4 linked regions of the Pelodiscus sinensis genome follow. The protein of the gene in region 3 binds, or shares a complex with, the protein of the main gene of each other region. Links are inferred from orthologs where the notes say so. Each region holds a gene or a part of one and is shown on either strand. Other genes may lie near its edges. The genes, in order: MLXIPL, PIN1, SFN and SOS1.

Region 1 (7,771 bases), on a different chromosome or scaffold from region 3:
GGAAATAGAAGCATGGAGGCATACACAAAGCCTCTGGGTTGGGCGGTACGGGTGACATCAGGATGGGGAAAGGAAATGGGGGAGGCACACAGAAATCCTGGCATAGGGTGAGGGGAAGAAATGAGGCAATATACAGAACCCCAACATGGAGGGAGAATGGGGGACAATGGTATGTGGAGGGAACCCCCACATTTTACAGCTGGTTAAAAATGCCAGAGGTTTCTTAGGGGACATTGTGAAAATAAATGATGAGTTTCTTTTTAGTTGGTCATCGAAGATTTTTTTTGTTTGGGATTTTTTTAATTAAAAATGAAAAAGAAAAATGTTGGTTTTCATTCTTTAAAAATATTCAATAAGTGAACCCGAACATTAAAAATTTAACCACAACTTTTCCTGAAAATGTCTTTGTTTCTGGCTTCTCATCCCAAACCAGGATAGCACCTGCCGGACTGCAGTCTGTCAGTGCAAAGCCTCATCTGGGCCAACAGAACAGCCCTCTTTTAAAGCTTGTTTTGATGAAAAGTGCCCAGCGTGACCCAGCACCGTGCTATTTACTGAGTCCTTTCCTGGAAGTCATCAAGCTGAACTCTGGCAGCCTCATTAGCAGAAGATGCTCCACACGTATCTAGGTGAGCAGTGTGCCTGGTAATGAAATACATGGGCGAGAGAGAAACTCTCCGTGGAAAGGGCTAGGCACAAAGGCTTGCTCGGCTCCTATGCCAGTGCAAAGGAAGCATAAAATGCTACCAGATCTGACTGGGAGCCCTTTGCAGTCGGGATGTGATAGTGTAGTCAATGAACCGATTAACCAATAAGCAAAAGTGCATAGGTTAATGCTATAGAGTACGTGCATTTCCCCGCCTCCCCCACCAGTGCATTTTTAGCAGGCTGGCCAGCAGCCCGGCTCATTTCTGGCTTGTGATGGGTCCTGGACCTGCCCCTGCTGCGGCTCTGCATTTAAAGTGTAGTAGGAGCTGGGCGGGCAGGCAGCCTGGCTCAGGTCTGGGAGCTCAGATGCTCCACCCAGACAGGGGCTGCTGCCACCCAAGCTGCTGACTCTTTATCAGAGGCAGCAGCACAGGGCAACAGGCAGGCGGTCTGCAAGGGGAGCTGGTTTTTTAACTGGCTCCCCTCACAGACCAGCACCTGCCTGGCACCCAGAGGCAAAGGCAGCAGCGCAGGGTGGCAGAGGGCTCCTCAAGAGTGAGGCCGGAGCACACTGGCTGCCGGCCCTGCCCCCAGGGACTATAGAATAGTCGACTAACCAATAAGAATTCATGAGGTTACTCGACTATTCAATTAACCGATATTTAACATCCCTAGAGTGTAGACTGTGCTGGGGCGTCACCGTGCACCCCGGGAAACGTCTAGACTGCAAGCTTCTTCTGAAAGAGCATCCACACCTCAAAACCGGATTGAAAACTGATCTGCTTTTTCGAAAGAGAGCATCCAGACTGCATGGAAAGAAATCCCTGATTGCTGTGCACAGAATGGCGCAGCAGAATGGCCACCAGGGCACCTGGGCTTTTTTCGATTCCCTCTTCTTTCAAAAAATGCCCCTGTTCTGCGTCCACACATGCCTTTTTTCAAAAGAGCTCTTTCGAAAATGGCGTTCTTCCTCGTAATCTGAGGTTTACCAATGTCGAAAACCCTGTATTCTTTCCATTTCATTTCAAAGAACGGCATTGCAGTGTGGACGCAGGTGACGTTTTTTCGAAAAAACAATGTAGTCTAGACATACCCCCAGTGTTGTTCGGCACCTGGAGGGGGGCCAGGCCAGTGGGGCCTTGTCTCCCCATAAAGAGCTGGAGAGTCCAGCTGGAGGGAGCAGCCCCAGAAGAGGGGAGGCAGATTGTTCTGTCTAGGTCCTCTGGGAAGCAGCCTGAAACAGGGCTGAGAAGGGAGGGCAGGCTGGCAGAGCAGACCATGTGTTCTAACAGCAAAGGGCTGAGGGAAGGGCACTGCCTCTGGGCAACAGGAGCAATGTCTCAGCGGGTTTCTGCAAGTGCAACAGCCCGTGTGCTGCTCTGGCCCCTGTGAAGGGACTTGGGGCTGTTGGGTAAATAGAAAGCACCAAGTGCGTATCGCTCGTTTCTCTTTTAATATGAAACTGACCCACTGCAAAGCCCCAAAATCTGCTACTCATACTGGGGGCTATGAGCCCATATTAGTACCAAGCTAGTCTGTGATCATGTCGCTAATATCCACCCCCCACTGCCAGGGACACAAAGGGGGGGCAGAGATAACATGCTGATGTTCAGTTGTAGGGCTCTTCTGAAAGAAAAACCAAATGGCTGCTGGAGCGATTTTCAAAAGGGAAAAGAGCCTGGGGGATGAGCCATGGCCAAAGCACCTGTTCTAACTGTATATTTTGATCTGAATTCAAAATGTGATCAATGTCCTTGACCCCTGTCTATATGCCAGAGGCCTGCCACACAGAGCTGGGGAGGGGGAATCCAGGGGTCCCAGTCAAAAGGATCCTCAGACTTACCTGTAGGCCAGGCTCATGCACTCGAAGAGTCGGGTGAGAGTTGGGTCGATGGTCCGGGGATCTGCTGGCTCCGGCTCAGAATGGTGGGGGCGTCGGCGGGGCACCAAGTCGCTGTGCGGCGAGGACACCATAAAGTGGCCGCTGTGGATGACCTGGGAGTGGGGCAGGGAGCCTGACCCTGGCCCAACACTGCCTGAGCCCAGACCCTCTGAGTCTGAATCAGAGTCTAACTCTGGGACTGTCCTGACCTGTGGGTCCAGAAAGGCTCCATGCAGCCCCACCTGCATTCCAGCGATGGTGCCCGGTGCAAGCAGCCACCCACCAGTGTGACCCTCTTTGTCTGTCTGGGGTCTGGGTACCTGGGAGGCCCACATCATGGCAGTATCTGAGCCCCACACATGTCCATTAGCATAAGGCGTGTGCACCATGCCCCCAGATCTGCATGTTGCTTCCCCACCCTCTCCCTGACTTGTTCTTTGTCCTGTGTCCTGCTTAGCTTGCCATTCCCCTGCTTCTTGGCAGTCCTATTTATAGGGCCCCCAGGTATAATCCCACCCCGCCCTCTTTACTCCAGCCATGCCTGTGGGCGGGGACAGGGGTGGGCGCTGGAGTCGAGCAGGGAATTAACCCCTTGTCTGCTGGATCCAGGGAAAAGGGGGAGCTCTGGGTCACACTAGAGTCTATTTCCATGACAAGCTGCCTACATTAAAGGAGAAGCCGCTCCAGCTTCCATCTGTTCCCAGCCCCCGCAGCTAGGAGGCCAGAGACAGGTCTGCTACTACAGCTCAGTTAGCTTTGTTTACCTTGGCTCAGCGCTGCTCTGCCTGCGAGCGGGAGAAAAATACACGGTATTTACCTAGCACGTCTGTACTAATGTTTCCCCTGCATTTCCCAGGGAACAAATACAGATTAAGGGACAAAAACAGGCAATTATAGCGACCAGGGTCCAGCTCAGCACAAAGCAGGGAGCGACTCGCGGAGTCATGCCCAGGGCCCTGGAAACAGGCAGCGTGAGAACCTGCTTTCAACTGGCTCCTCCAGGGTCTTCCGCTGAGCCAGAGAGAGGCAAAGATACAGACAAGTTCTCCCGGGGGCCTCTGAGGAGGCAAGGCCCCCAAGAACAACTGGCAGACTTACTCCGTCCTGGGCCTGAAAACTTACAACTGACGTGCTAAGGGGAGATTTTCAAAGATGGCTCACACCTGCCTCTGACTTCTGGGGGAGCCAAGCAGCCAGCCCCATGGGGGCCATTGAGAATCTCCTCACCCTTTGACCCAGGATGCATCTGCAGTGAAGGCTCTGCCCAAGTCTCCATGCTCTGTGCTGTCTGTGGGTGATGGTCTGCACAGGGGACAGGCTGAAGGGGGGTGCGGTGCTGTAGCCAGGTCACGACTGAATGAGAACATTGAGAAGAATGTTCCTAGCATCACGGAGTATGGCCAAAATGGCGTATTTGAGTGTTGGTGTCAGAATATAAGTATAATGATGGTAATAAGTGCTATACAATTATATGAAATGATATGCCAAGAAGGCTAAAGGCATATTAGGGTGCATTAGGAGGAGCAGTGCCAGCAGATCCAGAGAAGTGATTATTCCCCTTTTTTCGGCTCTGGTGAGGCCACATCTGGAGTACAGGCAGTCCCCGGGTTACTGATAGGGACTGTAGGTTTGTTCTTAAGTTGAATTTGTATGTAAGTCGGAACTGGTACATATTGTAGGGGAAACTCTAGCCAAACATTTCTCCAGAGCTCAGTTTTATTCTCCCACACCTCGCTTCCCTCAGTCCTTTATTCTCAAGCTGAGGTGTCTGCTGAGAAAAGCCGCTCCTCGTCTCCCTGGTCTGCTGGGGGGCGGGGGTAGCTTCGCGTCTCCCTGGTCTGCTGGGGGGAAGCAGCTAGTGCGGGGTTGCCTCACCCCATTTGTAAGTAGGGATCCGATGTAAGTCGGATCCATGTAACCCGGGGACTGCCTATATTGTGTCCAGTTCCGAGCCATCTACTATAGAAAGGATGTGGACGCATTGGAGAGGGTCTTGAGAGGGCAACCAAAATGATTAGGGGGCTGGAACACATGACCTATGAGGAGAGGCTGAGGGACTTGGGGCTGTTTAATCTGCAGAAGAGAAGAGTGAGGGGGGATTTGATAGCAGCCTTCAACTTCCTGAAGGAAGGTTCCAAAGACAATGGACAATAGTGACAGATGGCAGAACAAGGAGCAATGGTCCCAAGTTACAGTGGGGGAGGTCTAGGTTGGATATTAGGAAAAACTATTTCACTAGGAGGGTGGGGAAGCACTGGGATGGGTTACTTAGGCAGATGATGGGATCTCCATCCCTAGAGGTTTTTAAGTCTCGGCTTGACAAAGCCCTGGCCGGGTTTAGTTGGGATTTGGTCCTGCTTTGGGCAGTGGGCTGGACTTGATGACCTCCTCAGGTCTCTTCCAGCTCTATGATTCTAAATTCTGTATGCTTCAGTTTGAGCCTGCCAGCCATCCTTCATGATTAGACAATGTTGGCTGTAAAGTCTTGTTTCTTGTTAGCATTACACATTAAGTTGTGCCTCTTGTCTACATTGTAAATTAAATTAACTTAAACAACAAATGGTCCTGCAGCACTTATGTCCCAGCAGGACTTTTTGAAATTTCTTTGGTAACTATATGATCCTTTCTAAAATGTAATCCTGTCTAAAATGCTCAGTGAAGATTCTTTAACAGGAAACAATTGCTGTAAATCATTTGTTGTGAGTGGTGGATATGTACATAGTTAAGGATAAGTGTGAAAGCCATCACGAATGCCCAAATGGTGAAGAAGTGAGAACTTTAAAGACAACCAGGAGGCTAGAATTAAATTAGCAGAATTGATACACTTTGGAGACAGGACAAAAGAGATAACAATGGGAAGCCTGACAATAGTCATCAAAGGATAACTGTGGAAAACCGAAGCAAAATGCAGGACAATGTAGCACTTTAAAGACTAACAAGATGGTTTATTAGATGATGAGCTTTCGTGGGCCAGACCCACTTCCTCAGATCAAATAGTGGAAGAAAATAGTCACAACCATATATACCAAAGGATACAATTTAAAAAAAGTGAACACATATGAAAAGGACAAATCACATTTCAGAACAGGAGGGGGATGCGGGGGGGGGGGGGCGGGGGGGAAGGAAGGAAGGTAAGTGTCTGTGAATTGATGATATTAGAGGTGGGGAGAGTGGGATGTCTGTGAGCTAATGGTATTAGAGGTGATAATTGGGGAAGCTATCTTGGTAATGGGTAAGATAGTTTGAGTGTTTGTTCATTCCTTCCCGGAGAGTGTCGAATTTTAACATGAATGACAGTTCAGAGGATTCCCTTTCAAGTGCAGATGTTGTCACATTACCGAATTGGAGGGAAGCAGCCAGATCGCTGCTGCACCCCTAGGTGGGGGTGTTGGCCACAGAAATTGGTATAAAAGGGAGCCATGTGGGGTATTGAATGGGAGCCCCGGATTCGAGCAATTCGCCCTGAGCGGACGCCCTCAGCTGTGCCCAGACACGGCCCGGTCCGTCACAGTGGCGTAGTCGGCAGGATCCACAGATCTTGGTCAATTGAGCTTTGGGATCAGGACCCCACGCTGTCTAAATTTGATTTTTAGTACTGAGAGTTTGGTTGGGTAAAGGGCAGCCGAAATGAGTCAGTGCCAGTATGAGAGCCTAAATAGAGAGGCTCTGAAGGATTTGTGCTCGGGGAGAGGCATTGCCTTTAGGAAAAGGGCCTCTAAACTAGATCTGGTAGTGCTGTTATTAACCAGAGATGTGGATGAAAAGGAGCAGAAGCAAGCCAAGGAGGCTGCTGAAAGAAGGCGGAAGGCAGATGAAGAAATTGCTAAGAGAAAGCAGGAGATGGATCGGGAACTTGAGATGAGAAAAGCAGAACATGCAGAGAGAATGGCAGAGCATGCAACTGTGACGGACCGGGCCGTGTCTGGGCACAGCTGAGGGCGTCCGCTCAGGGCGAATTGCTCAAATCCGGGGCTCCTTACAGCTCCCCGACTGGTGACCTCTCCAAACAGGCCACAAACCAGTCCCACAGAGCGCTTCAGCTGCCTGCCTGAAGCCTCCCGAGCAAAACCCCTCCGACGCCCCAGCAATAACCGTGCCCCAGATGGCCCCGGGCCTCATACACAGGTGGGGGGGTCCTAGCACCCAATCCCACCTACCCCGAACAAGTTCTGTCCGGTTCCAAGAAACCAGCCACAGATCCCTGGTCAATTTACCCTCTGGACCTTACCCACAAATCACACTGGGCCAATCCTTTAGAATCTATATCTAAAGGTTTATTATTACAAGAAAGAAAAGCCTGAGAGTAAGGTTATTAAAGTACAGTACGTTACATGCACCGAATCTCCCAGTCCTCGATGCAGGCTCTAGCAGAGGTGTTGCAGCTGCTGGTTTAAAAGTTCTTATTGCACATCCTACGATCAGGATGGGTCCACAGGTCTTCCGGGCTCTTCAATCCCTGCATTGCTGCCTCTGGGATGAAGTGCTGAGCTGAGAACAACATGGCATCGACCGCATGGCCTCTTTATACCTCCTTCCTGGCCTCTTCTTGTATGCAGCAAGTCACCTGGTCAGAGGCCAATCTCTATGTTCCCTGCTGGCTGCCCTCAGATGACAAACCCCATTCTTTGGGTGTGTCCATAGCCCATTGAGAGCCATTGTCCCACAGGGCCTGGCTACTCAGCCTGTCCATAGCAATGCTTACCCACATTCAGAGAAATATTCAGCTTCCACACAGATTACAGATTCCTACCTACACACACAGACATTATATATTCACATAAATAGCGTACATAAGATCAACAAACAATAAGCTCCCATTCAATACCCCACATGGCTCCCTTTTATACCAATTTCTGGGGCCAACACCCCCAACTAGGGGCGCAGCAGCGATCTGGCTGCTTCCCTCCAATTCGGTAATGTGACAGATGTAAAAGGTCTTTGTAGCAGAATGCAGGTGGTTAAGTCATTGAGAGAGTGTCCTTTCTGGTTAAAATGGAAAGAAACTGTTTTCTCTTTGTGATCTTGTCTGATATCTGTTTTGTGGGCATTAATCCTTTGGCGAAGTGCCTGAGATGTTTGTCCAACGTACATAGCATACGGACACTTTCGGCACATGATAGCATTAATTATATTACTGGATGCGCAGGAATATGTGTTCTTGATCTTATAACTCACTTGGTTAGGTCCAATAATGGTATCAGCAGAAGGAATATGTGGACAAAGCTGGCAACGGGGTTTGTT
Region 2 (7,892 bases), on a different chromosome or scaffold from region 3:
GGGCTGGCTGGAGGTACATGCGTACACAGGCCCAGCCCCTCCCTACCCTGTGTCAAGGACTTTACTAGTCTTGAGCCTCCCATCTTCCAGGCACCCTTTGGTAAGGGGAGGGGGGCTGAAGATCTTCCCCAATTCGTAAGGGAGCATTGTGCACTTTCTCTTGCTGCCTGGGAAGCACAGGAGGCAGAAGAACTTGGTTTTCCAAAGATACCAAAAATTAATAAAGGACCTGAGCAATTCAGGGTAGTTCTTCTAGTCACTTAAAAGATCCACAACCTATGAAGTGGAGCGATGGACATATTATAAATACATAGCTAAACAGAGACACTTCCTAATCTGACGTAGTTGCTTGTTATAAACCAAAGGTCTCATTTGTCTCTTTGGGTACTAGTGACTGATGGTATTGGTAGGCTACCATAAGATAACTGGTGGACCTCTGGGAAAAAGTCCCTTACTAAATTGAGTGGGTAGCCTGTGACATGGGACTCATTTGCTGAGTTATGGTATTGAAGCTTCCAGTATTGCATATGACCCATGTTCCCTTGCATGACACTAGCAATTTATTTTATCAATTTGCGATAGAAACACACAAAGTGGGAAGGAGAATTATGTGAGAATTTGTCTAATGTATCAAAGAATAAACTTGCTGTTGTAATTTATTTTGAATTATTGACCAGGGAGAAACCTAATGTCACCTACCGTTTGAGCATTTCCTGTGGAATTCCCCTTAACTCATTCCTTTCAGATGAAATCCATGATGGCATGAACCTGGAGTTATATTATCAGTAGTCTTGAGTCTAGCTGCAGTTACAAATGGCAGGCATCACTTTTCTACATTTTTTTTCTGCTATAAAACTTGTCTATAAACTTTATTTCATGTAAGGTAAAAATTAGAAGCTCAAGTTGTGCATTCAGTTTTATCAGATATCTTCAGTTTTGATGGCTATAAAAGTGGCTGCAAACTTGTAAGAAGGCTGTTTTATTTTTAAAAAATGTTTGCAATAAAAGTTTCCTGATAACTTTTGTATCCTGCTCCTGGATTTGTCAGAAGAAATCTCTTCTTTAACTGACATAGCAGCCCAAATTAATGCAGCTGTTGGAAAGCAGTGGGCTTTAGACCCCATTTAACTTTCTGGAATCAGAATAATACTGTAGCACTCTCCATCCATCTGCTCAGAGGGACTCTCTTCTAGTTAGAGTAAGCAGCACATTTGCTTCGGGTTTGTATCTGTCATATTCAAGTTAGATTTTTTTTTTAATTTTTAAAAGAAATTTTGCATAGTACTGTGGTTAAGCTATGATCTGGGCAGGAAAATACGACCAACTCTCCCATCACACACTTGTTTCTAAGAGTGAAAGAAGAGCAATTGATTAAAAAAAATGCTTCAACAAGTAATAGGAATAGCAGTAATAGCCTTCCGAATACCTTCATTCTTAACCCATGCAGTCTCCGGTTTCCATGGAAAGTCTGTCTGATACAACTTCTCTCAAAGCTGTTATATTTATTCCCTTGTCACCCTTTTCCAGGCTCCTTTTGCACTAAACCCACCCTGTAACCTGTACTGGGATAAGGAACCTGATACGTTTTCCTGCACAACCTGAACTAATCTCTTGAATTCCTGTCTCATTGTTTGTAGCTGCTCCATCTGCTGGATGGACTTGCATTTTTGTGACATCCTTTCTCAGACACCTGGTGCTTCACTTTCTTCTATTTTGCCTGTAGTGACATCTTGCCTTTTCTACTAACTTTTAGTTATTCATCTCTTTGAGCCTTTTTTATTTGTGCATCAATAAAGTTCCTTCCTGCTTCTCTGTTCTAGAAGCCCTGACAAAATGAAACAAGAGCAATCAGATCACCCAGCAGTTTACAAAACAAAAAACAGAAGCCAAGCTAATCACCAAATGTGTAACCTGTATCCCATGATGCTTTTTATCCTCAACGTAAGACATTTACTAGGACTAGAAATTATGTTTAACATTTGGAAATATGCTTCCTAGTGTATTTTGGGGAAAACATTTACCTGCTAGTAGTAATATGTGATACCACTTCTAACATCAAACTGCAAGATCTCATCTCTAGTTTGTACAACAAGCTATTATTTGAGAGTTAAATGTGATATGAAATTGCACATATAATAGGGAGAGCAAAAAGTCACCTGGATGCAAAACTTCTGATGTGGCCTCACCAATGCGGAATAAAGGGGAATGATCACTTCCCTAGATCTGCTGGCAATGTTCCTACTAATGAACCCAATATGCCATTTGCCTTCTTGGCAACAAGAGTGCGCTGTTGATGCATCTAAGCTTCTTGTCCACTGCAGTCCCCAGGTCCTTTTCTGCAGTATTGCTGCTTAGCCCATCTGTCCCCAGCTGGTATCATTGCATTGGAATTTCTATCTTGAGTGTGGGACTCTACACTTGTCCTTGTTGACTCTTATCAGATTTCTTTTGGCCCAATCCTCCAATTTGTCTGGGCGACTCTGGACTGTCTCCCTGCCTTCTAGCATATCTACCTCTCCCCACCATCTTAGTGTTATCCGTGAACTTGCTGAGGGTGCAATCCATCCCCTCGTCCAGATCATTAATGGCCTTAGGACTATCCCTTGGGGCACTCTGCTTGATACTGGCTGCCAATTAGATGTTGAGCCTAACAATCTAGCCATATTTCTATCCACAATATAGTCCATTCATCCGAGCTGTATTTTTTTAACCTTCTGGCAAGATGAGGCCATATCAAAAGCATTGCTAATGTCAAAGTATATCAGTCCACCACTTTCCTCATATCTGCAGAACCAGTTATCTCATCATAGAAGGCAATTAGTCAGGCTTGGTCTGACAGGAATTCAGATTGACTGTTACAGATCACCTTCCTCTCCCAAGTTTTTCAAAATGGATTCCTTGAGCACCTGCACCATGATTTTCCCAGGGACTGAATTGAGGCTTACCAGTCTGTAGTTCCTTGGATTCTCCTCCGCCTCTTTAAAAGATGGGCACTGCATTTGCCTTTTTTGGTCATCTGGGACTTCCCCCAGTAGCCGTAAGTTTTCAGGGATAATGGCCACTCCCTCAGATGCATTAGATACTGCCCCATAGACTGAGCATATGATTTGTTTTAAATGGTCCTTATCTTGTTCTTTTACTACTGAAGGCTGCCCCTTCCTCCCCATTACTGTACTGCTCAGTGCAGCAGTCTGTGAGCTGACCTTGTCTGTGAGGACCAAGGAAAATAAAGCATTGAGTACTTCAGCTTTTTCTACATCATCTATCACTAAGTTGTCTTCCTCATTCATCAAGGATTCCTACACTTTCTCTGACTCCTTTCGTGCTGCTAACAACCTGTAGAGACATTTTTTCAGGGAAAGATATAGCTAGGTGCCAATTTAGTTTGTAACTGGAAAAACTTAAACAACAAATAGTTTTGCAGCAGTTTAGAGACTAACAAAACATGTAGATGGTGGTATGATAAGAACAGTTTAACCAGTTTTTAAAATGATACGTTAGCGGAAGCTGCTTATAAGAACTTGTAGTTAGTGTTCCTAGTGAAATAGACGGAATGTTGCTGAGTTTCAGGAGGTTGACTGCAAACTGGGCACCAGCAAGATCTCCATTTACAATGAAGTTTTGAGACCAAAATGATTTAACTAATGTCTTGATAGAGATTAATTTTCCTAATATCCCTGTGAACCAGTTACCACAGAAGAGAGAGATGGCCAGTGGAAGAGTCTTAATAGAACCCAGGATTTAAGAATTATTGTTGTGCCATAATTTGTAAACTGCCCCAAGAAGGCTGTACAATTCAGGGAGCTTGGATATTAATCTATGTAGAAGTGCTGGGCTGCTAACTCTTGTGATTCATTACTAATTTCACAATATTTTCTTTAAAGCCCCAGCTGCTGGAGCTCTGTGATTGTGACCCTCAATTGTCAGTAAGGAAAAATATGTCTAGCCCTCCTGCTTGCAGAGTGCAAGACTAAAACAGCAAAACATAAAACTTCAAAAAAATTAAATCTCCTTTTGCAGGTGCTTGACACATGAATACTTAGGATTGGTATTACAGAGGGATTTTGTGAGCATCAACGGAAGTTGGGGAAAGCCCTACACATTTTACAAGGGCAATACGCTCTGTACAATGAGCAGCAGCAGCTGATGATGCAAGGGTAGGCATCAGCTGGCCCTTGAGCTCCGGCAGAGAGAGAGGGGTCAGGGGCTTGCCCTGCTGCAAGTGTGCTGTGGCTCCCACAAGCAGCAGCATATCCCCCCTTCGGCTTTTACTTAGATGGCTCCATGTGCCGCTCTGGCCCAAGTACTGCCCCTACAGCTCCTGTTTGCTGGGAATATGACCACCGGAAGCTGTGGAGGCCATGCCTGCTGAGCAGGAAAAGTGCAGAACCGCCTGCCAGCACCTCCATGTAGGAGCTGGGTCGGGGTGAGGGCTGCTGCTTGAGACAATTGTCACATGGGGCCTACGCCCCCAATCTCTGGGGCCCCACCGCAGGGCTGCACCCCCCAGCCGACTCTCATGCCCAGCCCCACTTCGCCAGCCAGCTTCCCCTCCCTGCTGTGGTTCGGCGGCTAGCGAGTCCCTTGCACAGGGCCCGGGGGCTGCTCCAGGAGCCCCGTGCCAGGGACGGGGGGGGGGGGCATGTCCAGAACCCCCCCCCATTCCTGGGTGTGGCGGACACGCGGCCAGGGAGGCCCCACGGCAGCGGGCCGGGACATGCTGGTCTCAGGTCTCCCTTGTCCCGCCTCGGCTTCCGTCCCCTCCCTCCAGATTCACTTCCGGGATCATTGCGGCCTTTCGCCCGTAGCCAATCACGGATCTTCTGCGCCAATGAGACCGGGGCCAGGGCGGGGCCGGGACCGCCTCTCTCTCTCTCAGCCAATGGCAGCCGGCGGGGGCGGGGTCTCGGCCTTCCCCGCGCCAATGGGGCGCCCTGGCGCCAGGCAGGCGGGGCGCGGCCGGGCGGGCTCGCGGCGCAGGGAAGATGGCGGAGGAGGAGAAGCTGCCCTCGGGCTGGGAGAAGCGCATGAGCCGCAGCTCCGGTACGGGGGGGCGTGAGGGGCGGGCGGGGGCAGGCCAGGTCAGCTATGGGAGTGGGGGGGGCCGCGGCCGGGGGGGGTGAAGGGTCTGAGGGGGGGCAGGGCTCTGGGGGCGGGGCCGGGGGGCTGAAGGGTCTGAGGGGGGGCAGGGCTCTGGGGGCGGGGCCGGGGGGGTGAAGGGTCTGAGGGGGGGGCAGGGCTCTGGGGGCGGGGCCGGGGGGGGCTGAAGGCTCTGGGGTTGGGGGCGGGGCCGGGGGGGGGTGAAGGGTCTGAGGGAGGGGGCAGGGCTCTGGGGGCGGGGCCGGGGGGGCTGAAGGCTCTGGGGTTGGGGGCGGGGCCGGGGGGGGGTGAAGGGTCTGAGGGAGGGGGCAGGGCTCTGGGGGCGGGGCTGGGGGGGGCTCAGGGCTCTGGGGGCGGGGCTGGGGGGGGCTGAGGGCTCTGGGGGTGGGGGCGGGGCTGGGGGGGCTGAAGGCTCTGGGGGCGGGGGCAGGGCACTGGGGGCGGGGGCGGGGGGGCTGAAGGCTCTGGGGTTGGGGCGGGGGCGGGGGCGGGGGGTGGGGCTGGGGGGGCTGAAGGCTCTGGGGGCGGGGGCAGGGCGGCGGGGGCGGGGGGGCTGAAGGCTCTGGGGTTGGGGGCAGGGCTCTGGGGGTGGGGGTGGGGGGGCTGAAGGCTCTGGGGGTGGGGGCAGGGCTCTGGGGGCGGGGCCGGAGGGGGCTGAAGGCTCTGGGGATGGGGGCAGGGCACTGGGGGTGGGGGCGGGGGGGTTGAAGGCTCTGGGGGTGGGGGCAGGGCTCTGGGGGCGAGGTCGGGGGGCTGAAGGCTCTGGGGGTGGGGGCAGGGCACTGGGGGCGGGGCTGGGGGCGCTGAAGGCTCTGGGGGTGGGGGCAGGGCTCTGGGGGCGGGGCCGGGGGGCTGAAGGCTCTGGGGGTGGGGGCAGGGCACTGGGGGCGGGGCCGGGGGGGCTGAAGGCTCTGGGGTTGGGGGCAGGGCTATGGGGGCGGGGCCAGGGGGGGGGTTGAAGGCTCTGGGGATGGGGGTAGGGCTCTGGGGGCGGGGCTGAGGGGGGCCTGAAGGATCTGGGGGCGGGGCTGGGGGGCTGAAGGCTCTGGGGTTGGGGAAGGCTGTGGGGGTGGACCCGGGGGGGGGGTTGAAGGCTCTGGGGTTGGGGGCAGGACTCTGGGGTGGGAGTTGGGGTGGGGTCTGCGGGGTTGAAGGCTCTGGGGTTCGGGGCGGGGCCTGGGGAATTAAAGGCTCTGGGGTTGGGGGTTGAAGGATTTGGGGGCGGTGCCTGGGAGGTTGAAGGCTTTAGGGCTTGGGGTGAGGCCGGGGGGTTAAAGGCTCTGCGGTTGGGGGCAGGGCTCTGGGGTTGGCGCTGGAACCTGTGGGATTGAAGACTCTGGGATTCGGGGCGGGGCTGGGGGGGTTAAAGGCTCTGGACTCCGGGGCAGGGCTCGGGGGGGGGGGGGGGCGGTTTGAAGGCTCGGGTTGAGGGGTGGGGCTGGGAGTTGAAGGCTTTGGGGTTGGGTGTCATGTCTATGGGGGTGGGGTGAGGTCTGGGGTCTTGAAGGCACTGGGTCTGGGGTGGGGGGGCAGGCTTGTGGGCAGCTGGTGCTGCAGGCACTGGAGGGCAGAGAGTTTGGGCCTGCAGTGAATATAGCTTGGAGGGGTGTGCCTTGGAGATCCACTTCCCCAGCTGGGTGTCTACTGGGCTGTATTTACTTGGTCCCCATGGGTTGGTCTGGGGCAGGTTGTTCTGTTCCATGGAGTTGCTCTGGGGACTCAGATGTTCCCTTGAGAAGGGGATTGGGGAGGGTTCCCTGAATAGAGGCAGAGTGAAAGTGGCTTTATTCATGATGGGGTGGGAGGGAATTTAGTGAGGCAGCCTGGGGTTCTCACCATGTCCTTTGCTTGGGGATAAGCTTTCCCTGTTATATAGGACCTCCTGGCTAGGGTCCATGTTTGTTCACCTTATGGTGGATGGGTAAATCTGGAATGAAGCCCACGGGAGGTGTCTGTGTGGGGAGAGGAAGTGGATGCAGGTCCCAGTGCAGATGGGGGGGGCTGTTCTGATATGGGGTAAGGTCAAGTCTGGCTCAATGCCTTGGTACCCTACACGTTCAGGGTTAGAGGCAAATCATTGCACCTGTCTTCACTTCATTCCTTGTAGTTTTGCCAGGACACTGACTGTTCCAAGGTAGTTATAATTGGACGTTTGATCCTTGTGTCCTTGGGCTGTTGCCTTCTCTGCCATCCTCTATGTCTGAGAGTCAACACTTCTCTTCAGAGCATTTTGCTGGTTTGCTGGTTGAAATCCTTTGGGATAAAAGGGGTTAGAGAGAGGGAGGGAGTCACTCTGTCTGTCTGGTGAGAATTCCTGCAAGTGCAGGAATGAGCTGCTGCCAGCTTGGAGGGAAGGAGCAGAAAGCATCTCTAGGTTACAGTATTAGTTGGCTTGGCTTCACAGTGGTGTGGCCCCCGTCCTCGTGATTGCACGCTTCAGGGGAATTTTGCTGCTTATTTTAAAGAGTGGCTGCTTTTGGTCGAGGTATGTTTTTTTGTTAGCAACAGCAACCACAGACACATCCAGGATCAATGCTCCATTGTTTGTGCAGTGCCCACCACACTATAGTAAGACATGCCGTCTTGCTCAACTTTCTAATTACAAGATCATACAATTGTACGACTGGAAGGGGCATTTAGAATTCATTTAGTCTGGCCCCCTGGACTCCTGGCAGGACTAAGTATGATCTTGACCATCCCTGACTGGTGTTTGTATTACCTGCTCTTTAGAACTTCCAATGAGGTAAATTTCACAGTGTCTCTGTGTAATGTAAACCACCCTGTCAAGGAAG
Region 3 (6,840 bases):
TTTGAAGCATAAAGCCATAAATACGCCCGTTCCGAGCACAATAACTGGAGTTTCTGCCATCTCCGGCTGCTGGAAAGAGACTCGTGCAACTGAGCAAAGGCCGTTGCGGGCTCCTTGGGACTAGCCTTACTCGGCAGTGGGACAGTGGCCCCCCTCAAGAGACTGACGTAATTGAGTGAGATGAGCGGGGAGGTGAGACTTCCCCAGGCTCAGTATGGTGTGTTCACGGCTGGAATCAGAGGATTGCGAAGCAGCATTTCTACCAGAACCGGCCAGTACGCCGCCCCTCCCCCTCAGCCGTGAGCTGCTTGCGCCATGCGTGTGCAGGCAGAGGGGGCACCTGTCAGCGACCTAGGTAGTGTGTGAAGATGTTCTGCAGTTGAGTCTTAGCCCCTTCCTGGGTGTCCTAAGTGCAGTAGCCGTGTCAGTAGCAGCTTTTGCAGTCCCCGCATAGACTCTGCTGCCTCCCAAGGACTGAGCAGAAGAACTAGGCACAGGCTGGGCGGGTGTGAAATCCATTTACGCCTTGTACTTTTGTAACAAAATAAAGTTTCTCCTATTTACTGTACATGGGCATCTGGCTCTTGTTTCCCCAGCGCCCAAGGAGGGACGTCTCCCGGCTGCCCTGCATGTGCGCGCTCTCTGGAGAGGGTGGAGCGAATGAAGGTGGAGCGCTAGATGTGGCGTGTGTCTGTCTGACCTTCTGTGTTAACCATACGGGGCGGAAAGCCAGGAACGTCCTCACCCTAAAGCCAGCTTGGCACTGCTGGGGGCCCCGGAAGGTGGGGGTGAAACATGGCTTGGTCCCAAGAACGGGAGGCATCAAAGGTCTGCTGAACTGTCGCCATGTTTCCTGATTGGAGCCTGCCCAGATGCAAACCTCGTCCGTGCAGACCTGTTGGCTTTTTCTGCCCAACTGAGGCGGGGGCTCTGGCTCTTGCAGGGAAGGATGGGCTGGTTCAAACGAGCTCGGGGGTGGGGGGGCTGTGTCCTGCATACGCTTGCAGGCTAGTCCAGGGCTCTTGGAAATGGCCTTCTCCACAGCACTAGTCCCGTGTGGGAGCTGCTGCAGGGAGCACACGAGGGGAGGAGGAGACAGCCCTGCGGGTGGTGATCTGTGCCCCTCCCACGGGACTAGCTAAACTATCGAACCTCCCTTGTTCAGAGCTAGTTTAATAGATTCACGTCTTTCAGTCGGACTGAGTGCGCAGCTCCAGGGGCCGCCTTTCTCTCAGGTGCCCCGCAGGAAGGCAGCCGGCCACCGCAGCATGAGGATGCAAGGGGCAGTCCGGGGCGAGCTGGCCCCGGAGGAGCGCAGCAGGGCTGAGCACCACGCTGGACGTTGCGCTTCAAACGTTTACAGCCGGCAGGCCCCGGGAGGGGAACTGCAGGCTGCCGAGCCTAGTGCTGAACTTGTACTTCAGACGGCACCATGTCCCCAGGGTCCTTTCCCACGTGAGTCAGGCCGAAGAGACGGCCGGCTTCGTGCTCCCACAGTTTGGCAAACAGGCTTGGGGTTCGCACTAAGCGCAGTCCCTGGACAGGCTGCCGGCCCTAGTGTGTAATGCTGGGACACGTGTGTGCTCTGGCCCAGCCCAGGTCATGTAGTTCGCTTGGCCGTAGCTGCCGCTGCCTTTGGAGAAGGTTCACGTGGTGCTGCCCTCCACAGGGGCCTGTGCACTTCCACTGCAGCCCCCAGCCCCTCGTGGCTTGGCCACAGCTGTGCGGCGTACGCCCCAGGCAGATCAGGGCTTTTTAATCTGGGTCACCAACTGAGAGCAAGCAGAGATTCAGAGCGTGGCCAGGCTCTAGCTTTCCCTGCTGCAGACCTGCGCTGCCTTCCGCTCCCGGGGACAGACGTGGGATATGGTCGGGATAAACAGATCTCCCACTGAGAAGTGTGGCCTCAGAGCTGGGCCCTCCCAGGCAGACAGAGATGGGGGAGGGTTCCCATGTGAGACCCACAGCTGGGGCGAGCTTCCTTGGGGAAACTTCAGTGTAATCCTGGTGTGCGTGGGCCCTGTGCTATGGCCCTTGTGCGATCACAGCTGGGCGGGGGAGGTGAGACCGGCGCTTGCCCCCTTGCCTGGGAGAGTGGAGATCAGTGGCTGCATGGATCAGACATTGTTTCCCAGGCTGGGAACAGTTATTCCCCCCCAGAAGGGGCAGGAATGGGTATTTCCACAGAGGGAGGGGGCATGACATGAAGGAGCACTTAGCTGGAGCGCTAGCTCAGGCCCAGGGCCTGTAAGATGGCTGACTGCTTTCCTAGCGCTCCCAGGACTTGGCCAGGAACAGCTTCCCTGTGCCCTGCTATGGCATCCCCATCATTCCCTGCAGCCTCTAGGACTCCCGGCCCAGCCTCACACGAGTACCTAGATCCGACCAGTATTAGCCTGGCAGAGTCCTAGACTGGGCTGGGGCGGGGGGGGGCCTGCAGACCCTCAGAACGGTCGGTTGCGGGCGGCACACAAGTGAGAAGCAAAAAACAAAACCCCCAACCCCCACTGCCGTGAGCTCTGCCTGAGGAGGAGCAAGCCTCACCCCACATCCCCCTCTACACCAGAGCCTGGGGGCCCAGGCTACAAGAGTTTGCATGTTCCAGCCCCACGGGGAAGGTGGGGGGCTGGAGTGCCAGCGTGGGCTCCCCAATGCTGGGGGGGGTCTTGAGCCTCAGGGGCCTCATCCAGCCCCCAGGCCATAGTTTCCCCACCCCTCCCTAGACTATAAATACTTGCCCTGGGCTAGAAACTAGTGTGTGTGTGTGTGGGGGGGGGGGTGTCAGGGGAAAGGCTGGGGCCTGAGCACTAGGCTGGGACATGGGAAACTGGCAAGTCCTTGCTCTGACAGCGGTTTCCTGGGTGACCTTGAGCAAGTCACTTGCAGTGGGATTTTCAGAAGCCCTTTTGAAAAGGGCACTCGTCTCTGTGCCTTCACGCCCCCCCCCCCCCCCCCCGTATATACACTGGTGACAACGGCGCTTTCCCCTGGCCCGTTGGAGGTGTGAAGACCGCTATGTGGAAGAGCGGGTGGGAGAGGCTCAGATATTCTGGTTACAGGGCCCAGAGAGGTACCGTGCTCAGTCCACCCTGCCGTAGGTGTTCAGTTTCAAGCCTCAGTAGTGGGCTTTTCTCAACCCTTAAAAACCAGTTCTCCAGCCTCAGGCTGCGAGCAGGAGCCACCCCAGGCCACGCTGGTCCCACCAACTGGTGTCTGCCTTCACCGGACTGAAATCAGCCAGGACAGGGCCTTTCTGCAGCCAAGAGCTCAGCATCAGCTGGGGGGGGGGGGGCACTCAGATGTGGCTTTGCACAGATGAGTAGTTGTGAGTCAGGCAGCTGGAGCAATTTACCTGCAAAGGGGAACAGCTGAGTTACCGACCCCACCCTCTCCTCCCCAGGGCTGCATCCACCCAGCAGATAAGGCCAGTGATTAAGGCAGGTTTCAGTGCAGTGAATTTGTCAGGACGCCGCCTGGCAGCATCAGCCTGTGGAGCAGTCAGCCCCTGGCAAGTAGGAACAGGCTCGATCGGTTGGAGAGACAAACTTCAGGAGAGCAGGAGAGCCCGATTCTAATGGCAGCAGCTGATCCCAGAGCAGCCGAGCCCTGGCAAAAAGGGGTTTCCAAGTGTCTTCAGTCACTGGGGCAAGGCGCAGGCCCAGCAATCCAAGGGTGGGTACAATGCAGGGCCGCTTCTATTGGCTGAGGTGAGGCCTGTGTCTTAGAACGTCCTTTCCACCAGCCTCTGCCTACTTTCTGGCCTAAGCTCTGTCCCCTGCCCCTCACTCTGAGCCAGGCTGGTAGGAAGTAGCCTGAGAGGCTCTTATTTTAAAGCAGAAGGTCTGCAGGGGGACGTGGTGCTGTGTCTCAGCGGAGGCGTTTCACGGCAAGTTGCCCGAGTGCCCCTTCCTAAAATGGGAGGGGGGGTACTTGAAATATCCCGTCCCGTCCCTTCCCCACGGTCAGTCGACTCTTGGCCTTGCTTCCAGAGAGCATTGTGGTCTCCCTGACTCTCCGTCCCTCAAAGGGAAGGGGCGGTCATGGGGCCCTGTTCCCCGCCAGTGCCGGCCCGGCGTTCCCAACCTGCTCCTTTGCTCCGTAGGCAGCTTTGGGCTGCACAGGCACAAGCACAAGGTGACTTCTTTCTGACATCTGGTCCATAAGCGCATCCTTTGGGAAACTGAGGCCAGCTCCGCAACACAGTCCGAGTTCAAAGGGAGTGAAATGACTTCAGTGCGAGGTGTGATTTGAGCCCCGGATTAGGATTAACCTGCTGTTGGGGGAAGAGCCCAAGGGACCTGCCAGTGTTTTCAGAGCTTCTTCTGCCCTATAATGTTGGAGCTGCTCAGCCACCCATCTGTTTAGGAGCTTGGTCACGGCCTCTTGCCACGTCTGCCGCTGTGGTGCCCAGCCAGACTCCACTGAGGACGCTAATGGGATGAGGAGCTGCCTGGGGAATCTCCCTGCGTTTGTGTCAATCACACTTAAAATGATAACGTGCCTTTGGAGGGCGTTTGGGGCTGTTGGAAGCTGCAGGATTGGCCATCTCAGTGCTGGAGGGTCTCGAGCGAGCCCAAGCGCAGGTCAGCCGCAGGGCAAGATTCCCCCCGGAGGGTCCTTCTCTGGGCAGGAGAGATGAGCTGGCCCTCCCTGGCCTCGCCAGTGGTTGGCTGCCCAAAAGGGGGCTAGGGCTGCCCGTGAGGAGAGACAGCCAAGCACGCTGTTTGGAAGGAGGCCTTGCGTGAAGATGGATTTCTCTGACATTGGCAGGTGCAGAATCCGTTGCGCTCCAAGGTGAATCACTGCCGCTTGCCTTTTAAGGAGAGTGCTGTCTGGCAGGAAGTGGGGGAGGGGTTCACTGAGTGCTTTTCCGCCACGCCCAGCCCTTGCTCCAGGCTGAGACGCCAAGCCAAAAGCCGATCCCATCAGCAGAGCGGAGCAGAGACTCGGAGGGCTCCTGAGGTGACTGCCTGCTCCCTTTCGAACCGGCCGCTTTGCCACCCGTGCTCCCAGCCATGGCCAGAAACCAGCAGGTGCAGAAAGCCAAGCTGGCCGAGCAGGCGGAGCGCTATGAGAACATGGCAGATTTCATGAAGGCCGTGGTGGAGCACGGGGACGAGCTCTCCAACGAGGAGCGCAACCTCCTCTCGGTGGCCTACAAGAACGTGGTGGGGTGCCAGCGCTCTGCCTGGCGGGTCATCTCCAGCATCGAGCACAAGACTGAGGAGGGCGACGAGAAAACGCCGCTGGTGAGCGAGTACCGCGAGAAGGTGGAGGGGGAGCTGAAGGACGTCTGCAACGTCGTCCTGGGGCTGCTGGACAAGCATCTCATTAAGAAAGCCAGTGACCCAGAGAGCAAGGTCTTCTACCTGAAGATGAAGGGAGACTACTACCGCTACCTGGCCGAGGTAGCCACCGGGGATGACCGCAAGGAGACCATAGAAAACGCCCAGAAAGCTTACCAGGAAGCAATGGACATCAGCAAGAAGGAGATGCAGCCCACCAACCCCATCCGCCTTGGGCTCGCCCTTAACTTCTCCGTCTTCCACTACGAGATCGCCAACGCCCCGGAGCAGGCCATCACGCTGGCTAAAACCACGTTCGACGAAGCCATGGGCGACCTGCACACGCTCAGTGAAGACTCGTACAAGGACAGCACCCTCATCATGCAGCTGCTCAGGGACAACCTTACGCTATGGACGGCGGAGTGCGCGGGAGAAGACGGCGGAGAAGCCGGCGGAGAAGCCGGGGAAGAGCCTAAGAACTGAACTGCAGCCCCCTGAGCGACGGTCGCTTTTCCCACCCCTCCCCCTTTTGTGTAAGACGCCGCTCGGCTCCCGACAGCTCTGCCTGGAGTCCGACAGCAAAGGGGACTGGCTGGTCTGTGCATGTTATTCCCACTTTTTACTCCGTCTTCTCTCGTGGCAGCTTTGGGACAAATCCCCCTTCTCTGGCCCTCCCCCCCCCAACATTTCTTGTGATCTTCTTGCAGTGGGAGAGCACCTGTCACGTTCCACCAACCCGGGTGTAACAGCGGGTCTCCTTGAGCTCCAGCCCTGGGGCCTGATGGGGCTGCCAGCCATTAACATTTAAAAGGGGAAGCGGAGGTTGGTTTTCGGGGCGAAGGTACCAAAGTGGAGCGGTGGCGGCTCACTCGCGCGCTCCCCTTTGCTGCCTGTGGCGCCGTGCTCCGCAGGGTTCTGCTGGGTGTGGCCGGCCGGCCGAGGGAATCTTCGGAGCGGGTGACGAATGACAAACTTGAGGTGCCTCGTGTATTTGTGCCTTGCCGAAGCCGCTGCCTGCCTGTCCCTCTCCAATAAAACTGCACTTCCACCCCTGCCTTTGTCGTCCTCGGCGTCGCTTCTTTCCCGCACCCTGTACGCGGCTCGGTCAGCACTGCCTGCCCCGCTGCACAGGGGCCAGGGAGTCCTGAGCACGCCCCCGGCTCGGCAGGGAGCGAGCGCAGCCTGGGCCCAGGCAGGATGCCTGCTGGCCAGTGCGTGAGGGCTGGCCCCCAGCAGAGGCGCTAGGCTGAAGTCGAGTGTTGGGAGCAGGCTGTGCCCCAGAGAGCCCAGCGGGCCATGAGCCCAACTTGCATTTGAGAAGTGATGGGGATAGGTGGGGGTGGAGGAGCAGCAGCTTTCGCAGAGGAGAGGGACTTTGCGGGGCTCGGGCCGAGGGAGTAGGAGCCCCGGGAACAGCGTCTGTTACCCTTTCTCAGGCTGTCTCCAGCGCCGAGTGTCTGACTCCCCTCCCTGCCCAGCGCTGCTGCTGCTCAGACTGGTTTGAAACCCCAGCCACTGTCCCGTGGCTTCCTGCAGCTAGAACCCACCTGGCCCC
Region 4 (7,242 bases), on a different chromosome or scaffold from region 3:
AATGAAAGCATCCTTAGCAAAAGGCATTCTTACAAAATTATACTAAAACTAAAGTCAGGTCATTAAGCCACAACTCTAATTAAGCAAAATATTTTCACTATAAAAGTCTACCCCCTCAAGTTCTTGTAGAGTTTAAAAGTAAAATTCTAAGTTCTGCCTTAAGAATTTATTATATTTTTCCTTTAATAAAAAGAGTTGAATGTTATTTTTAAAGGCTAAGACACATAGGCTAACCATCACAGCTGAGAAATTTCATATGCACAAACATGCAGGGGGATAAACAAATATTTCAGTGTAAAAGGCTGTGCAAGTTCCTTTAAAGCGATATTTGTTTAAAAACAGAAATTACAAGAGATTGACAACAAGCAACTTTGAGATGAAAAATCATTCCACAACTAACAAACTTGGAAAAGAAAGGAAGTCCCACAAAAAGTTACAATTAAACAATAACAATAGATTTCTGAGCCAAGCTGGAACACAAGAGGAAGGATGTCCAAGGATAAGGCTTCACTGGCCTGATCTCTTTGGTATGGTAAGACTAAGTGAGCCTGACAAAATATAGTTACTCTAAAAACAACGATCCACAAAAGGACAACACAAGAGAACCTAACCAAATGTACTGTTATCTGCAAACATACCAACTTAAGAAAAATCTATCAGAATCTCCCCCTGTGTTTCAGTATGCTTAATAGCATAGTGTTGCACAGTGAGATCTCTCATTACGAAGGTCATAAAATTTACTGCAGTACATTCAGTACAATATGAACTATGACAAACAAAACAACAGATATGAAATAGTTAATTTTTAAAATGTATTTGCAATATTTGATATCATGTGATGTATCAGCCAGTCATTAATGCAGATAAATGAGGCTGTAATGATGAAAAAAAAAAAATAGCCACCCTTGGGCTATAAACTAGGCCGTCACACCACAAATTCGACATCAGAGAAGCACCAAGACACAAACCAGAAGTAAGGCTTTCTCTACACTTAACAGTTTAAAGTGCTGCAGTTTAAAGTGCAGCCGCAGCAGCACTTTAAACTGAAAGTGTGGCCACCGCAAGAGTGCTGAGAGCTTTCCCAGCGCCTTATGTAAACCACCTCTGCGAGGGGAGGAGCTAACAGCGCTGGGAGTGTGGCTGAGCCAGAAAGTTACAATGCTGTGAAGTGTTAGTGTGGACTTGGCCTTAGTAAAATAGGATAGGATCATGTTTCCTACACTCTTGCTCCCTACACTTTTGCTCCAAATCTACTGACAAAGCTTAGAGAATCCTTTACATAGACTTCTTTCAGATAGCAACTAGACCACTGGTTCTCATCCAGGGGTACATATACCTGGGGATATGCATGGGTCTTCCAGGGGTACATAAACTTATCTGTATAGTTGCCTATTTTTATAAGAGGCTAAAGAAAAAGCATTAGCGAAATCAATACAAAGTAGGAATGTGAAAAGTTAACTGGTTAAGGGCTGGAACAGCTCGCCAGGCCTGCCACGGACAGGGGCTGCTCCAAAAGATTGCAACAGCCCCTGTCTGCAGCAGGCCTGAGGGACATGGGGGAGGAGGGTGCACATGCAGGGTCTGCTCCAGCCTGGCTCCGCCAGGGAGCAGGGGGCCCTTAACCAGTTAAAAAGTGAAGCAAACTTCACATTTAACCGGTTAACCAATTACATGGGATTCTACATCCCTAGTACAAAATGAAACCTTCACATAGCCAGTGACTTGTGTATGCTGCTGCATAGACTATACCCTGAAACGTAAGTACGATATTTCCAATCAAATGGATCAATTAGATAACTAAACGATAAAAATGAACCAAGTGCTCCTGTTGCCGTAACACCGCCCCGTGGCGCTCGGCGGCGTCTCGGGCCGTGGCGCTCGGTCACGTCTCGGGCCCGCGCCGTGGCGCTCGGCGAGGTCTCGGGCCGTGGCGCTCGGCGAGGTCTCGGGCCCGCGCCGCTCGGCGAGGTCTCGGGCCGTGGCGCTCGGCGAGGTCTCGGGCCGTGGCGCTCGGTCACGTCTCAGGCCCGCGCTGTGGCGCTCAGCGAGGTCTCGGGCCGTGGCGCTCGGTCACGTCTCGGGCCGTGGTGCTCGGTCACGTCTCGGGCCGGGGCGCTCGGTCACGTCTCGGGCCCGCGCTGTGGTGCTCGGTCACGTCTCGGGCCGGGGCGCTCGGTCACGTCTCGGGCCCGCGCTGTGGTGCTCGGTCACGTCTCGGGCCGGGGCGCTCGGTCACGTCTCGGGCCCGCGCCGTGGCGCTCGGCGAGGTCTGCGGCTGCTTTCCGTACGCCCGTAGGCGCGAAGGGAGGCCCAGCGGGCGGGGAGGCCGGGGGCGACCCAGCCGACTCCTGGAAAGGGCCGGGGGTGGCTCCTGGACCATCCCCACAAGGCCGCCCCTCCCCCTCAGTGGCGGGAGCAGCGTCCAGGCCACTGGAGACCCCCCCCCCATCCTTCCCCTCCACTGGGCCGCCCCTCCCCCGCCCGGCCCCACGCCCCGCCCCCCGGGGGCTCGCCCCGCCCCCTCACCTTTTTGAGGGCCGGCACCAGCAGCCCCCGCCACTTGGGCGCGTTCTCCTCGCTGAAGAACTCGTAGAGCAGCGGCGGCGCCTGCATCCTGCCGCCGGCGGGCGCGGGGCGCGGCGGGGGGGTCAGCGGGGGGCGCGGCGCGGGCAGCCGGAGGGCAGCAGCCGCCAGGGCTCAGCGCAGGGGGGCGGCGGCCGCATCCCGCCCCCGCCCCGGTCTCGCCTCAGCGCCCGCCCCGCGCAGGGCTCCGAGGCCGGCGGAGCGCTCGGCGGGGAGGCGCGCGGCCGCCCTGCCCCGCCAGCCGCGCGGGCATGCCCGGCCCAACGGACGGCCCCGGCCCGCGCGCGCCGCAGGGCGGAAGGACACGCGCCGCCTCACGGAGGAGGAGGGGTCTGCGCGCCGGGAGCGCGAGCGCGGCTGGAATTCTCGGGGCTTTTTTTTTTTTTTTTTTCCCCTCTCTCCTCGCCCGGACGGTTACTCCCGAGGGCGCCTGCGCGGGGAGGGACGGCGCAGGCGCGCCAGGCCTGCTCCTGCGCCCCGCCCACTCGCTCCCAGCCTCAGCGCGGAAGCGCGGCTCAGGCCGAGCGGCCAGGAATCGCAGCCGAGCGCCGAGCTGGGCCGGCGCGGGGAAGCGGTTCCGCAGGCAGCGCCCCCTGCAGGTCGGGAGGGGCTACAGCGGCTCCTTCTTTGGCCCCGGCCCTGGACCACCTGGCTGATGCCCTCTCACCTGCCCCCCTCCCCCCCCGGCTGCCAGGGCTTTACCTACCCCCCCCCCACCCCAAAAGCCCAGGCAGCTTCCACTGTTGGCTCCCAGTGAAGGGGCAAAACGTGTCCTATGGGGCCAGGCAGACAACAGCTTCACCCCCCCCCCCACCTTTTGCAACAGCCGTGCAATGAAACCCTCACGTTCCCACACCACAGCCCTGCTGTGACCATCTCCACAACAAAAATGTCACCTGTTGTCAAATGGCCTTGAAGTGTTACCCTCTTTCACCAGCTCTGAGACAGACAGACCATCACTAACCGTCAAATTATCACCCCCTAGCACAGATGTCCAACCCTGTCACGCTTCCACTCGGTTTTGCAACCTCCATCAAAATATCCCAAATTGGCACCAACGGCCTCCACTTGTCCTCATTGTACGCCAAATGTAACCAGTTCTCTCCAGCTGTCAGACTCATGAACAGACACAACATGGCCATAATTTTTGATCACATGGAAGCAGCTGGTGAAAAGTTCCTGATCAGTCACAACCTGCAACCACAAGTGATCAGCTATCAACATGTGTCATCACCTGTCTTCAGATGACAAAAACTGTTAACCCGCACCAACTGCCAGGACTGTCATCAACTGAGAAACTGCTCCAGGGGCCAAGCAATTTTACTTTGAGGGTAGCCGAGTTAGTCTGTTAGGCTACGTCTACACTGCAGGCTTCTTGTGCAAGAACTGTTTTGCGCAAGAGTTCTTGTGTAAAAGGTCTTCCGCAAGGGCGCATTAACACTGCCATGTGCTTTTGGGCAAGCAATGTGCTTTTGCGCAAGAGCGCCCATAGCACTGTGGACACTCTCTTGTGCAAGAAAGCTCTGATGGCCATTTTAGCCATAGGGCTTTCTTGTGTGAGAAAATCATGTTGCCCGTCTATACTGCCTTCTTGTGGAAGAGCTCTTGCACAAGAGGGCTTATTCCTCGTGGGGAGAGGAATAACTCTCCCGGGAAAAGCCCTGTTTTCTGACGCTGTACTTAAATTTACTTACGTAAGAATGTGTGTGCAGTGTAGACACCTGGCAAGTTTTTGCACAAGAACAACTGTTCGGCTACGTCTAGACTGGCATGATTTTCTGCAAATGCTTTTAATGGAAAAGTTTTTCCGTGAGATTAGCAAGGACGCTTTTCCGCAAAAGCACTTTTTGCGGAAAAGCGTCCGTGCCAATCTAGATGCGGTTTTGCACAAGAAAGCCCCAATCGCCATTTTCGCGATCGGGACTTTTTTGTGCAAAACAATACTGTGTTGTCTACACTGGTCCTCTTGCGCAAAAGCATTTGCGCAAGAGGGCTTTTGCCCGAGCGGGAGCAGTATTTCCGCAAGAACACTGACAATCTTACATGAGATCGTCAGTGTTCTTGCGGAAATTCAAGCAGCCAGTGTAGACAGCTGGCAAGTTTTTCCGCAAAAGCAGCTGCGTATGGTATGGTACCTTTTCCGCAAAAGGTATGTCTACACTTGCACCCTCTTTCAAGAGAGGGATGCAAATGAAGACATTCAAAATTGCAAATGAAGCTGGGATTTAAATATCCTTCTCTTGAAATAACTGGTAAACCTCATTGTATGAGCAAAAAAGGTTATTTCGAGAGAAGAGTTTTCTCTTGAAATAACCGTGTCTTAATAGCGTCTGTTATTTAGAAATAGCGCCATAATGCCATTATGCAAATGAAGTGCAGGATATTTAAATCCCAGCTTCATTTGCAATTTCAAATGTCTTCATTTGCATCCCTCTCTCAAAAGAGGGTGCAAGTGTAGACATACCCTTACAGAAAAAAAACAACAAATGGTCTGGTAGCACTTTATAAAGTAATAAAACATATAGATGGTATCATGAGCTTTTGTGGGCACAGCCCACTTCTTCAGATGATTGGAGACCTATTCTTGCTTACAGACAGCCCCCTAATGTGAAACAAATTCTTTCTGGTAACCATGCCACACAACCACATCATAAGCCTCCAGGAACCCAGCCCTGCAGCCAACTCTGCCCATGTTTCTGTACTGGTGAATTCATCACTAGAGCAAACAAGATAAGCCACCAAATTGAATGGTTAGTTGACTGCACATCCAGTAATTTGATCTATGCCAGCAGTGCCCCACTGCTACATATATTAGACAAACTGGACAGTCTCTGCGGGAAAGAATCAATGGACACAAATCAGAGATACGTAAAGGGAATGTACAGAAACCTATTGGGGAACATTTCAACCTTCCAAATCACAGACAGGTCTCCAAAGTAGCTGTCTTGTCACAAACCAGCTCTACAAACCAGATCCACAGGGAAACACTGGAATTACAGTTCATCTGCAAATTCAATTCACATGCTAATGGACTCAATTGTGATGAAAGCTGGTTGGGACACTCCCAATTTAACAACCACTGAAGGTGCTAACAGCTCTTTGTGTTTTCTCCTTCCTGACAGGGGGCTCTATTGACTTTGATTTTTATCTGCTTCCGTTTAAGTACCCATTCTCCAGATACTTACTAATACTCTGTCTCCCACCCACCCCCCTGCTTTTTTCTTCCCTCCCCTTCCCCTCCTATTTATTTTGAGTGTATACATCCCAAACTCATAACTCCAGTCATCTGAAGAAGTGGGCTGTGCCCATGAAAGCTCATGGTACCATCTACATGTTGTTAGTCTATAAAGTGCATTTCACAAATATTTGGCATTTTCTCCAGCTCCTGGAGGCAAGTGATTAAGAATCTCAGCTTTCATTTTTTAAATGAAGTGTCTAACCCACATGATTTTTTTAAAAGTTTCTCTCAGCAAAAAAAAGAACCATGTTGTGTAACCCCCAATAGCTGAGAAACCAGAAGACAAAATGACTTGACTTTTTTTCCTCCAGTATTGCTGACACCAGCAGTCACCTCTACAGGTCCCCAGCGATTGAGAGGGGCACTTGTTTCCAAGAGAGACCAAGTGGCACAAACTGCAATCAAGACCCACCAACTGTCAGCCTGTCCAGATGCTTTCCTCGCGTGAAGGTGGCCTTTGTATTACATTGTGTTCCCTTGCTCTTACAGAAGTTTACTTATCTTCGAATGGGGATAGAATTTTGCTTTAGTGGGAGAGTAAAGTCCAGACATAATTGAAGTTGCCCAAATGCTCTCTTCTTTGGAAACAGCAGCGTTTATAGTGATCCCTCATAGAATGGAGAATTCCTGCTCTTTCTTGGGGAATGTCTCACAGGCAGAAGTCAGAATCAGGAAAATGCTCAATCTGGAGCTGGCCTCAAAGGGTTCCAGTTCCCTACTCTGTGCACCTATCCTCACCAGAGCTAAGTGAAGCCTCTCCGAAGTTCAGGCTTACCATCCCTCTCTCCCTGAAGCTGTATTTAATGCGCCTATTCCTGTACAGTCTAAAGCAGTGTTTCTTAAACTTAAGACCAAGAAACACCAAACCATTTTTTTTTATGAGGAACACCAAGGATTTTTTGTTGAGGGAAAAAAGGGGGGTCAGGGAAAAGTTGACCAAAAAAAAAGAGAGGGGTTGGGGGAAAGTTGAGGAAAAAAGGTCACCTGCCCCTTTAAGCATGGCCATTTTGAACTCTATTGCTCTCCGCGGCACATCTCCAACTATCTCATGGCACACCAGTGCTGCAGAACACAGTTTAAGAAACACTGGTCTAAAGGCTATGAACTGCTCTTTATTAGAATTATCCAGAGGGGAATGACTTCCACCAGATGCAAGGAAAGCTCAGTCCTCCTCAATTATTATGAACAGGGCTCGACAAACTGTGGTGAGAGCTACTCGCCAGCCCCGCACCGTGCATGCGCGCAGTGCCGGAGAATGGGGCGCATAGAGTGACCAGCTGAAATCTACTTACCACGGGCAAGTAGAAACAGCAGTTTGTTGAGCTCTGGTTATTAATAAATCCTATTTGCATATATTTAATTGTAAGAGCTGCAGAATCATCCCCGATCATGAGAGTCGCAATGGTCATTTTGATTTTCTC

What was found.
Region 1: the proteins of SFN (region 3) and MLXIPL are in contact, whole or in part, in a crystal structure (PDB 8BTQ), measured with the Homo sapiens proteins. The link is inferred for Pelodiscus sinensis from reciprocal best matches to the Homo sapiens genes SFN and MLXIPL. Residues at the interface, in NP_006133.1 of Homo sapiens: Gly53, Arg56, Ala57, Arg60, Gln67, Arg129, Val178, Tyr181, Glu182, Lys214, Thr217, Leu218, Gln221, Leu222, Arg224, Asp225, Asn226, Leu229, Trp230; in NP_116569.1 of Homo sapiens: Arg117, Ile120, Arg121, Asn124, Trp127, Arg128, Ala129, Trp130, Tyr131, Ile132, Tyr134.
Region 2: the proteins of SFN (region 3) and PIN1 are in contact, whole or in part, in a crystal structure (PDB 7AOG), measured with the Homo sapiens proteins. The link is inferred for Pelodiscus sinensis from reciprocal best matches to the Homo sapiens genes SFN and PIN1. Residues at the interface, in NP_006133.1 of Homo sapiens: Tyr19, Lys49, Asn50, Arg56, Arg60, Lys122, Asp126, Arg129, Tyr130, Pro167, Gly171, Leu174, Asn175, Val178, Glu182, Ile219, Leu222, Asn226, Leu229, Trp230; in NP_006212.1 of Homo sapiens: Arg68, Arg69, Pro70, Ser71, Ser72, Trp73, Arg74, Glu76.
Region 4: the proteins of SFN (region 3) and SOS1 are in contact, whole or in part, in a crystal structure (PDB 6Y44), measured with the Homo sapiens proteins. The link is inferred for Pelodiscus sinensis from reciprocal best matches to the Homo sapiens genes SFN and SOS1. Residues at the interface, in NP_006133.1 of Homo sapiens: Glu14, Asn42, Ser45, Val46, Lys49, Arg56, Phe119, Lys122, Arg129, Tyr130, Pro167, Ile168, Gly171, Leu174, Asn175, Val178, Glu182, Leu218, Ile219, Leu222, Asp225, Asn226, Leu229, Trp230; in NP_005624.2 of Homo sapiens: Arg1158, Pro1159, Glu1160, Ser1161, Ala1162, Pro1163, Ala1164, Glu1165, Ser1166.

Annotation. Positions count from the first base shown.
Region 1 is NC_134731.1:16,406,512-16,414,282, forward strand, and holds the start of MLXIPL (carbohydrate-responsive element-binding protein), read right to left. Parts: upstream 3,008-7,771; 5' UTR 2,920-3,007; coding exon 2,492-2,919; intron 1-2,491. UniProt on the Homo sapiens protein: Binds DNA as a heterodimer with MLX/TCFL4 and activates transcription. Binds to the canonical E box sequence 5'-CACGTG-3'. Plays a role in transcriptional activation of glycolytic target genes. Involved in glucose-responsive gene regulation.
Region 2 is NC_134729.1:14,659,186-14,667,077, forward strand, and holds the start of PIN1 (peptidyl-prolyl cis-trans isomerase NIMA-interacting 1), read left to right. Parts: upstream 1-4,884; 5' UTR 4,885-4,985; coding exon 4,986-5,043; intron 5,044-7,892. Other genes in the region: UBL5 (ubiquitin-like protein 5), read left to right, coding at 746-789. UniProt on the Homo sapiens protein: Peptidyl-prolyl cis/trans isomerase (PPIase) that binds to and isomerizes specific phosphorylated Ser/Thr-Pro (pSer/Thr-Pro) motifs.
Region 3 is NC_134735.1:2,336,072-2,342,911, forward strand, and holds SFN (14-3-3 protein sigma), read left to right. Parts: upstream 1-4,910; 5' UTR 4,911-5,015; coding exon 5,016-5,768; 3' UTR 5,769-6,340; downstream 6,341-6,840. UniProt on the Homo sapiens protein: Adapter protein implicated in the regulation of a large spectrum of both general and specialized signaling pathways. Binds to a large number of partners, usually by recognition of a phosphoserine or phosphothreonine motif.
Region 4 is NC_134713.1:196,920,102-196,927,343, reverse strand, and holds the start of SOS1 (son of sevenless homolog 1), read right to left. Parts: upstream 3,007-7,242; 5' UTR 2,614-3,006; coding exon 2,527-2,613; intron 1-2,526.